Cricetulus griseus: one gene and its partners. The protein of the gene in region 2 purifies or fractionates together with the protein of the main gene of each other region. This does not show direct contact. Links are inferred from orthologs where the notes say so. Each region holds a gene or a part of one and is shown on either strand. Other genes may lie near its edges. The genes, in order: Aifm1, Txn and Cops5.

Evidence for each region.
Region 1: the proteins of Txn (region 2) and Aifm1 purify together in Homo sapiens (affinity purification with mass spectrometry; 3 studies listed by BioGRID and IntAct, with this or other methods). This does not show direct contact. The link is inferred for Cricetulus griseus from reciprocal best matches to the Homo sapiens genes TXN and AIFM1.
Region 3: the proteins of Txn (region 2) and Cops5 purify together in Homo sapiens (affinity purification with western blotting; 3 studies listed by BioGRID and IntAct, with this or other methods). This does not show direct contact. The link is inferred for Cricetulus griseus from reciprocal best matches to the Homo sapiens genes TXN and COPS5.

Annotation. Positions count from the first base shown.
Region 1 is NC_048604.1:20,981,676-20,985,325, forward strand, and holds part of Aifm1 (apoptosis-inducing factor 1, mitochondrial), read left to right. Parts: intron 1-1,233; coding exon 1,234-1,318; intron 1,319-2,150; coding exon 2,151-2,227; intron 2,228-3,063; coding exon 3,064-3,172; intron 3,173-3,650. UniProt on the Homo sapiens protein: Functions both as NADH oxidoreductase and as regulator of apoptosis.
Region 2 is NC_048595.1:85,908,235-85,911,984, forward strand, and holds the start of Txn (thioredoxin), read left to right. Parts: upstream 1-1,522; 5' UTR 1,523-1,655; coding exon 1,656-1,679; intron 1,680-3,750. UniProt on the Homo sapiens protein: Participates in various redox reactions through the reversible oxidation of its active center dithiol to a disulfide and catalyzes dithiol-disulfide exchange reactions.
Region 3 is NC_048595.1:150,156,478-150,160,127, forward strand, and holds part of Cops5 (COP9 signalosome complex subunit 5), read left to right. Parts: intron 1-2,355; coding exon 2,356-2,504; intron 2,505-3,650. UniProt on the Homo sapiens protein: Probable protease subunit of the COP9 signalosome complex (CSN), a complex involved in various cellular and developmental processes.

The DNA of each region.
Region 1 (3,650 bases), on a different chromosome or scaffold from region 2:
AGATACTGAAAACTAATCTCTCAGACTCCAAAGCTCAAGCTCTTAACTCTAAGTAGAGACAAGGGAATTAAGAGTATTGACAGGAGAGCCATTTGAATGATCTACTATTGATCCAGATCATTTGGAATGGAATTGCCAACCGAATAAACAGAAAATTGGAAGAAGTACAGTGAGGCTGGGCTGAAGATGCAGTTTCATGGTACAGTGCTTGTCCAGCATAACCACAGCCCTACTCACATTCTCCACACTTGAACAAACAAAACAGAAAAGGAGGAGTAAGTAACAGTGGGAAGAAGGCACTGACGCTAAGCTTGTGTGTGTGTGTGTGTGTGGTGAGTTCTTTAATCCCAGTGCTCAAGAGGCAGAGTCAAGTGGATCTCTGTGAATTTGAGGCCAGCCTGTTCCTAGAAAGTTCCTATCACACACACAAAAAAACAATGAGCCTGAGAGAAAATTGTGGTAAGATATCTGAGGTAGAAGTAGCAGTTTAGGAAATAATAAGAGTGTCAATGTGGCCCAGAGGAAAATAGGAACCAAGATCCAAGGTCCTTAGAGATAAGGAAGTGGTTTATTAACGGTGATGTAAAGGGATGTAGGTAGGTATCACTCGGAGGATGAAGGTATAAGACTCTAGAAACATCGGAAACAACCATCTCAGGAACCGTGGACGATTGGAACACTTCTTCCTGGCCTTGTGATATGGGGTGTGGTCAAATTAACTGTCTCTAAGTATAACATCCCTGAGGGATAGCTGAGTTTCAGTGAAGACTAGAAGTTGGAGAAAGATTCTACAGAGATGTTGTGAGTATAGTAGAGTTGTTAGCAAAGAAATAATGACTCCAAATTCCAAAATAGAAAAGACTTTCTCCAGTGTCTGTTTCTATAAATCAGAATGGTTGTTTGGGAATCCACTTGATACAAGCTTCGGTTGCTTAAAGAAACAGGGTCCCAAAAACTATGGTCCTAATAACTAATTAGAAACAGTTTCTTCAGGATAATTTTTCAGTCAAAAACTAATTCTTCTCATTGAGTTGACAACATAGGTTCAGAGCCCCACACCCCCCACCCCCCCACCCAACCCCCTGTGGCATGAAATGTTCTAGAATTAGATAGTGGTAAATAAACTTAAAAAAACAATGAATTTGTACTTTAAAATGGTGACTATTATATCATAGTAGTTTTTCGTAACTTACTCATTTCTACTTTTTGTATGTTTGCATGTGACTATACCAGGTAGTACAGTTGGATGTAAGAGACAACATGGTGAAACTTAATGATGGCTCTAAGATAACTTTTGAAAAATGCTTGATTGCAACAGGTGAGTATTTCTGGAGGTGGCTGTCTTCCCTTTAGAGTCTGGCCTTCTCTTGAAAAGATATTGCAGCTTATCCTTAAGACAACTGATACCCAGAGTCTCTGGTGTAGATGTCTGGTTAATTTGGGTGTGTAATGTTTTTACCTATTTGCAATTTTTATAATACATTTTATTAAAAAATAATCCTCTGGTAACGACCTGAGGAAGCTGCTCCTTTTTCCTCTGTGCATGGTATTCAGTACCTAGTCTGAAGGATATGTAGCTTTGTGGGTTTATTGCCAATTCTCATCCAAAATTAGGGGAGAAGACAAGCAGCTAATGAGAGTGGTGTAACCGTGCTAGCATGTGAGGCCTCCTGAGACTCTGGAGCTACTGTGGCAGGTGGGCGTAGTAGCTCTTATCCTAGCACTCAGGAGTCTGAGGCAGAAGGATCAAAGCAGACTTGATGCTACCTGGGATCCATAGTGAGTTCTGGGCCAACTTGGTGGACATAGTAAGACCCACTCAGAAAATTGACAGAGACAGACAGACACACACCATGGAAAAAGGAACTGAGCTTTCTGATTTGACCAGCCATGGAGAAGGCATGGTCCTCCGAAAAGAGACTCAGATGTATTTCTTCAAGGAAATTGATAAGAAGCCTGCTGTGAGGCAAGCCATCTTACCTGCTAGTCACTCCTTGGTAGTGTTTGCAGCAGCCACAGCCACCACCACCACCGCTGCTGCTGTGACACCAAGTATACTTAGCCACAGTCAAAGCAAAGAGAGATCTACCTGTAGGTGTTGTTTGGGCTAGCTCCTGCTTGTCAGGCTAAAAGGGCTTTCCTATTTCCAGGAGGCACTCCAAGAAGTCTGTCTGCCATTGATAGGGCTGGAGCAGAGGTGAAGAGCAGAACAACACTTTTCAGAAAGGTAAATTGCTTTAGTGTTTTCTTTGTGTTGTTTTGAAGAGGTAACACGCTTTTGTGTTCCCCGAGTGCTTCCTCCAATTGGGAGATCTAAGTTCTCTATAGAGCTCTTCTCCAGACTTGTTATCTAGCTTTGAGCAAGTCACTTCTCCCTGCACCTCTAATACTTCATTCACTCACATTCACTCAAGGGTTCTATGCTTGTAGGACAAAACTACATTTGGTTTTTATTGCTTGCTGTAGTTCTCTGACTACTCTTCTGCAGTATTTGATCCACCAGAACTCCTTGTGGTCTCTTGGCATTTTTCATTATGAGTGCTTTGTGAAGACTTTGATGCAAAAGGTCAAGAGTATCTAAGTACAAAGGAAAGGAGATTGTTTGCTTCTTAACAGTATGCCTTGCTGGAATTTTCTAGCCACACTTCGAGATATTGGAGGAAGTTTATACTGCCTTTTAAATTCTCAATTGTTGGGCTGAAATTTCTTTGTGTGGGAGGCTGTCTTTTGCTTTGTAAGATGTTGGCAGCATCACTGGCTTCTCTTCCACTAGAGGCCAGGAGCATCTTGTTCTGACAGCCAAAATGTCTCTAGATACTGCCACATGGCCACCTTGGACTGGGAAGAAAAACTACTACCAGTGTTGACAGCCACTGTTGCTGGAAGGAATGTTACAATGGAGAAAAAATTCACATTAATAATATAGATGCTGTAATTGACCACTTTGAACAAGATGCTATTTGCAAATATCTGATGCAGCTGAGTTAGAGGAAAATATTTTCTTGGATTATTTTCTTGTGCCCCTTTGGGAAATCAGTGAATTAAACTGGTATGATCCTGCAGATTGGAGACTTTAGAGCCTTGGAGAAGATCTCACGGGAAGTCAAGTCAATTACAGTTATCGGTGGGGGCTTCCTTGGCAGTGAACTGGCCTGTGCTCTTGGCAGAAAATGTGAGTATGGAGAACTTTCCTCCATTTTCTTTAGTCATATATCGCATGTCTTGGTGCACTATCACAAATTCCAGAAATATATTTTCCAGGAGGAATTCAAGGAGTTTGAACAGTGTTTATGGACTGAGTCTGGGCTTGTTGGCACATGCTTATAATTCCAGCATTCTGAAGGCAGTAGCAGGAAAATTTTGAGTCAGATTCTAGACTGGATTGCACAGTAGATTCAAGACTAGCCTAGGGCTATAAAGCAAAAAGTGCTCCCTTATCTCAGTCCTCCCTGCAAAACGAAGTGTATAGAACAAAAAGCTAAGTACTAAGGTCAGGACAAGAATTTCTGTTTAGTTGGGTTTCTTTTTTTCTTTTCTCTTTTGGTTTTTGAGACAGGGTTTCTCTGTAGCTTTGGAGGCTGTCCTGGAACTTCCTCAGTAGACCAGGGTGGCCTCAAACTCACAGAGATCCTCCTGTTTCTGCCTCCTGA
Region 2 (3,750 bases):
AAGGGAGGGACCAGGTCCTACAGGTCACTGATTTCATGGCCTTGATAGACAGATTCACCAACTACTAAATAGCCAGGAAGCTGGAGTGTAGCTGGACTGAAAAGAACAGCTGAAAAGCATGTTATAGATTCTGTTCATCAGCTCAGGGGTCCTCTCTGCCTCAGCTGTCTTCAGAGGGAAGGCTACTGCCTTCAGGGCCGCACCCACCCTCAGTCTAGGGCTGGGTTCAGAATGTTCCGTCTTGTCCACATCCTCACTCATTACTTGCATTCCTCAGCCCTCCAAAAACTTCACACAACTGGTTCAAAAGTTCTGGTTTTCTTCTAGTTCTGAACAAAGGTGGTGGTGGTGGTAGGGGCACTGAGACAGGGACACGGTTTCACCATCTCCAGCTCTTCACCTCTGGATGCATATTTATCTAGATCTGCTCAGCTCTGAAAAGGCAGCCTTGGCAAACATCCTCCCAGCTTGCTGGCTCTGTCCAGTCTCCACCTCAGCTTCGGGCTGCACAAAGCCACCCTAACAATGTCTTAGCTTCCTCCTGCACATCACCCCAGTTATCATTGGCACACACTCTTCCTGGCGTCTCCCAAGGCAGAACAATTTCTGCAATGCATGTACACTGTCATTGTAAATACAAGGCAGCCAAATTCAGCAAGGCCGGCATGGCACCACGCAAGCTTAATTAGCGCTCACGATGACTATAATTAGAATCATTTATTGAGTGCTTCCTTATGTGCCCAGCGCTGTCCTCGTCAGTTTTCAAGCCCTTAAATCCTTCGAGACAACGCTGTGAACTAGACAATCCGATGTCCATTATGCCCGCATGCGCATGGGGCACAAAAAAAGGGCACTAAAGGACTCTGTCCCTCTCCAGTAGCAGGTTCACCCGCGAAAGTTAAAGAATAGGAAGGGGAGGGGGGAGAGAAGGGACAGGGAAATCTCCAGAAAGGAGGGGAAGGAGTGCACTGAGACACTTCCTAGTCATCGTTACTCAGCACTTTGAGGCGGAACCGCAGCATGGCCGCCCTGGTCGAAGGATACACTTCTGCCTGGGCAGTCCCCAGGCCCAGTCTGGAAGTATCTGACTTAGGTCTATTTGGGGCCTGGCCAATGTGATCCTAGAAGGACTCCAGATTGTGAGAGGGGACTATGAGCATCCTCCCTACGTAGTGCACAACGAAAATGCCCTTAGAGCAACTGGACGCACACTTACTTCCCTGTGTAAGCGCAGGGCGGTGTCTGGGAGCCCGAAGCTGCTCCAGGCGCCTGCGCTAGCCTCTCCCCCTGTAAACCAAGGCCAGCTTTCCGCCGCGCAGAGGGAGGAGACATGGGCGGGGCCATCACTAGGGAAGTACCGGAGCTGCTCTAGTAGCCGGCTGTGGCTCCGCCCCCTGGAAACCTGATTTCCGCTCCACCTCTTGGAGGCGTGGCTTAGGTGTGGCCTGCCGAGGCGGCTTGGCGGGCGCGGGAGGCCAGGGAGCGCGTCCCCGCTGCACGCGCCCGCCCGCCCCGCCCCGCCCCGCCGTGCTCCGCCCTGTCGCTATAAAGAGAAGGCGGGCGCCTCGATCCGCCGCAAGATCCGTCAGGCATCTCGGATCCGCTTCCATCCGATCCTACAGAAACTCGTGTGGTTCCTCCCCGCGACAGCCAAAATGGTGAAGCTGATCGAGAGCAAGGTACGCGTGCCCGGACGACGCGCGCACCCCGCCGTGTGCTGTGTTGGTCGCCTTCTGTATCCCCGTGGTGAGCGGCCCGGGGCCTGTGCGCGCCCTGGGCTTGTAGAGCACGCCTGGGGGAGGGGACGGGGAGACCCTGGAACGCCGGGTACCGGAGGTGCACCGCTGGCGGCACCTGGGTTCCCCGATCTGGGTTCCTGCAGCCTCCAGCCTTCTCCTTACCGCCAGCTCTAATCTGGCGGAGGTGAAACGATGGAGGGGGTCCTTGGGTGAACCCCCGTCTGAACCAGGATTCGGAGTCTCAGGGAAGAAATGAGAGCCGCCACTCCTCGCGTGTACACTGTCATACACAACGCGGGGTGTCCTGTGCCTCAGGGCTAGGCCGGAGTTTGCCTCCATCAGTGGTCCACTGCCTAGAGAACCAGTGCCCGGTCGGTGCACGGGGGCCGGTACCTATTGGAGACCCTCGGGCAGGTGCTCCAGGTAACTACTAGGAAGGAGAAAGGTCCAGGCCCCGCCTGTGGGACTCCTCCTCCTCCTGCAGCTCAGGGCGTGTTTCCGGCAGCGCTAGCTTTGGAATGACTCAGTCCCCAATGTCTGGGCCCAGGGGCCTCACTACGCTAAGATTTCAGTGATTCACCCGCTGTAAGTGGGCTTTGCTGGAACCAGGGCTCTGTTCCTCCCAGGGAGTAGTCCACTACAAAGTCCAGGTTTTGCCATTTGGGAAAAGAAAAAAATACCTAAGGGAAAAACTGTTGCCATATTTGAAAGTTACTGAGAACCAAAATATCCTCCAGATTGGGAAAGTCAGAGCCTGTTACACTGTAACTACTCGGGGAATATTTGTAAAGTGGAAAGTGAAAGGGGCGGTGGTGGGAATTGATGTTTGGAAGACTCTCACAAGGTAACCTAGTTAACTTGTTAACCTAGCTAACTAGGGGAGCCCAAGGAAGGCAGACCCACGCCTCCAGTTATGAGCTGTTCGGGCCTGGTTGGGTGGGTCTCAGTACATGAGTTTGCTCAGAATCCACCCACTATCAGTCGTTTTCGACCCAGCACCCAGTTAGGTCCTTACCTGTTTAAACTGTCTTACTTATGGGACCTTTGCCATTCCAGTAGAAAAGGTGTGCATTGGGGACAGGAAACCAGTTATTCATAAAAACCTTGGGCCCCAAAGGCCTATTAACAAGGCTCTGATCAGAGTCGCCCCGAATCAGAGATTAATTGAATACACCTAGGGTTATACTGGTGGGCTTAAGTTGATTGGTTTAACCATGTGTTTCTGAGGACTGTATGGACTGTACGGTTAGTTAAGGGTCCCTGATTCCAGACAGGAGTGGGATGATGGGCTAAAAAATCAACAGTTGGTTTGCTTTGTTTATTTTTAAGACTAAAACTATTTATTGAACTACACACAAGGCATGCTGCTCAGTGCTTTACAGACTATGTTAGACCAGGGTGTTGGCTCATGGCTCTCAGCACTCAGGAGGCTGAGGCAGGAGGATCACCACCTTCCTGTCCTGGGCTACAGAGTGAAACCGGTCTCAAAAAGCAAAGAACACTTTGTATTGCTACCTTTGGGCTGGTTTTGTGTTTGGGGCCTTTTGTTTTGCTTTCTTTTCCGTTTACGTATAGGGGTGGGGCATTCACTTGTGGTGGTCAGAGGACAGCTTGGGAGGGTTGGTTCACTTCTGTCTTGGGGATCCTGGGTATTGAACTCAGTTCTCCTTTTTGTGGCAAGCACCTTAATCTGCTGAGTCACATTGCCAGCCCCTGAGCTAGGAATATTTGAGAAGAGGGATCAAAGCAACTGCTTCTAACTACTCCAACTGTTTTCTTCAGATCATCGGTGTCAGTGATGGAACCATTTCCTAATTGTGATGGATTATTAGTTTCTGAAGCTAAAATTTGTGATTTGCTTCTTAGACAATTTTGAATACTCTTCAAGCCAGTTCAGGCAAGTTTACACATCTGGAGAAGAGATCTTATTTGTGAAGTTTACACATCTCTGTAACTCATATTCACTGAAGCCAGAAATTAGGGTTGCAAGCCTCTTTTTTTCAGAGTTTTA
Region 3 (3,650 bases), about 64 Mb from region 2:
CATGTCATGGGGCAGAGCAACAAATTTGATGAGTGACTGGGCCAAGGCAAGGGCTAACTGCTGGGCTGGTGTGAAAACAACTCTTTGAGGAGCATGGGGATTAAGCTGGAGAAGGAGGTCGTGGAAATCAATTTGATGATAAATACCAGGCAAAGAAAGGCATTAACTCAGTGTGTCCTGATACATCATTTAAAATCTAATGTGCTTATTACATGGATATATATTTAATAGGTACATATTTAAAACTTAGGGCAGCTTTTGTTTCCTGTGGTCCTGGCTGGCCTTGCAGTTGCTGTGTAGCCAAGGATGACCTTGAACTTCTTTCTGTCCCCACCCTCTCTGAGTGCTGGGATTATAGGCATGTGCTTCACATCCAGTTTTAGTGTCTGAGCCTTGGTGTAAAATGTTGGCAGTGACACTGTAAGTATTACTAAGTACACTAAGGTACTTTACATAAGTCATAACAAAGTTAGCAAGTGCCTGGCTTACAATGAAGTCTGGATGAATAATTACTAGTGTTTTGTTTGGTGCATTATATTCTTGGAAAGACTCCCTTGGCCCTATTTATTTTAAATATAATTTTGACAAGATCTGTATTACTAGAAGTAGCAGAATTAAAAAGAGAGCAGGCTGGGCACAGTGGCGTGTGTCTATAATGCCAGTCTTTGTGATTTGAGAGGTTGAGTCAAGAGGATCAGGAGTTCCAGGTCTTCCTCACCACGCTGAAAGCTAAAGGCCAGCCTGGGCCACATGGGGCCATCTTGTTTTAAACAAAAATAAAGGAGGAAAGCAATCATACTAGAAAATATTATGTATCCCGTGTGCCAAGCACTGCTAAGTGTCTTATGTATGTTGTTCCCTTAGAGACAAATATATTTATAGTCAGAAGTGACACCTGGTGGCAGGGAGAGAAAACTCTAAGACAATAGCAATAAAGGCAGTTGAATATACCTGCTTAGTCCTGTGACTGACTTTCCCTGTATTCCAGCATTGCAATATGAGGACATGAATAGTTGGGATGAGTGTAAATTATTAAGTGCCTTTACTACTAAGCTGACTCACCAGCCTGATACAGGGCCTTGCCTTATATATAGCCTTGACTAGCCTGGAACTCATACTATAGTCAAGACTGCCTTGATTACATTTATAGTTGCCAGTTTTAGATTAAAACTAAAAAGACATCTCATAGCAGCTTTTTAAAAATATTACAGTTAGCCCTTGCTAACATAGTGGTATATGCCTGTAATCAAGCCTGAGTCATTTGACACCCTGTCTCAAAACAAATAAAATGAGAATATTACAATTAAGCCTGGAGGTGTAATTTGGTGATTTGTAAAATACATACATATTTGGAAATGGTATGTGTAATAGATCCTCAAATGTAGGTATGAATGAGGACATATTGCAATACTCTGATAAGAACAGTCACAAAACTAGCTAATAATTATTAAGCCTTTCTTAGGTGCCCTGGACAGTCCTAGAGTTTTAAGGTGGAAATCATTGCCACCTACTTCCATTTTTAAGAGTTCCAGGAGGCGTGGTCCAGGCATTCCTCATAGCCTTCATAATGACAAAACTTGATTTAAGCAAAGGAAAAAATAACACATTTAATCTTGAAATTAGGTTCTAAAATTTTAAAATCAAATTGGTAGATTTTAGGAGCAGTTTTTATAGCTATGACCTAACTTCTTCACTGTCTATCCATCTTTACATTATTTAGATATAGAATGTTAAATTAATTTACATAAAAATTAGTGGATTTTGTCAGGCATGGTGGCGCATGCCTTTGATCCCAGCACCGGGAGATAGAGGCAGAGGGAATCCCTAAATTAGAGGCCAGCTTGGTCTACACAGCAAGTTCCAGAACAGCCAGGGCTACAGAGAAACCCTGTCTCAAAAAGAAAAAAAAAATTGGGTTTTTAGCCAGGTATGGTGGTACACACCTTTATTCCCAACACTAGGAATCAGAGGCAGGCAGATCTCTGTGAGTTCAAGGCTAGTCTGGTTTACATAGTAAGTTCCAGGACAGCCAGCGCTTTGTAGTGAGAGACTCTGTCTCAAAAATAAAAGCAAGTGTGTGGGGGAGTGGGTAGAATCTTGGGCAGTGGGGGTGTGGGGCTGGACAGAATGGGTGGTATACCTATAGTTCCAGCTCCTCAATAGAGTAAGGCCAACTTGGGCAACTAACAAGACCCTGTCTCAAAACAAATACAAAGGCTTGAGAGTATAATGCTGTAGTGGAGTGCTTGCTTATATCTACATGTCCCTGAAGGCAGGCTTAGCCCTGGAAAAAAAACAGAATATTTTCATGATGAGCCTATGCTGTGAAATGACATGACACCATTTTCTCCACAGAATGCAGACTATACCACTGGCCAGGTGTTTGATTTGTCTGAAAAGTTAGAGCAGTCAGAAGCCCAGCTGGGACGAGGGAGTTTCATGTTGGGTTTAGAAACACACGATCGGAAATCAGAAGACAAACTTGCCAAAGCTACTAGAGACAGGTAAGTGTTCATGTGCAGGTCCTGCCCTACTCTTCTCTCAAAATTTACAGGAAGTAAATCCTGATCCTGTGGTTCAGTCAGCTACAACTTGGGAAATGCCTGAGTATTATCACACTTTCAAATTTTAGGGGACATAAGGCAAAATAGAAAGCTCAACTCAAAGATCTAGGAATACCATAGCCACATGGTGTACAAGGAAAGCTGGCCCCTGACTAGATCTTTTTTCAGGGGAAGGGCTTCCAAAAGCATGCTTACCCTTTTCCTCGACTAAACATTTTCTGAAGAATTAACATTTCTTAAATTTGCCAAATTTCAGATTCCAGAATATTGTGGAAAAGATTCTCTCTTAAGTCGTTCTTTCTGCACTTTAGTATCTCATGTTTTACTTGCTAATTATTTCCTTGGGATGTGGTCTCTGATAACTTAGATGAGAATGTGACCATTGATGACAGAATGTACGGGTTGAAAACACTAACATTTACTGCCACAAAACCTCAAGTTTTAATCTGATACTGGCAGAAGAGAGAATATTTGGGCAGTTATAAGCTGGTTTGTTTGGTGGAGGGCGGGGGCTGTCTTCCCTCAGTTCATAGCATATTTCCACTCTTGGGATGTTTTTTTTTTTCCTTTTTCATAAGCTGTTTCTACTCCTTGCCAAACTTGAAAAGCAGAGCCTTCCTCCATCTCCTGGTGTCTGCCAGGATTTCCACCTGTACTGTGTTTTTCTCTTTAACACTAATGAAGTTGTCTTTGAGCATAAAGCAAACAAACAAAAGCACTGTTCTGTAGGGAGAAGGGAGGGGAAGGTGAAGTTTATCCTGCCACTGGAGTTAGAAGTACCTCATTCAGCTCATCCTGGTGGAGAAAGTGGCTCAGTGGCTCAGCACTTCAGCACTTCCCTGTCGGGCATAGGGCTCTGGTCCATCCCTGGCACCAAAAACCAAAACAAGAAACATGCCTTCTTTCAGAAGGTGCAGTGGCCACACATTGGCTTTGGCTGTCTCAGTGTGTGAACTCATGAATGTGTCTGCATTTGTTTTCAGTGCTGGGCATGGCACTGTGGCCTTGCTGCTGCTCTACCCTTGTCATATCCCCAGCCAATTCATTTTGAAGTAAAAGTTTCCTTACAGAACTCTTCCTTTGTTT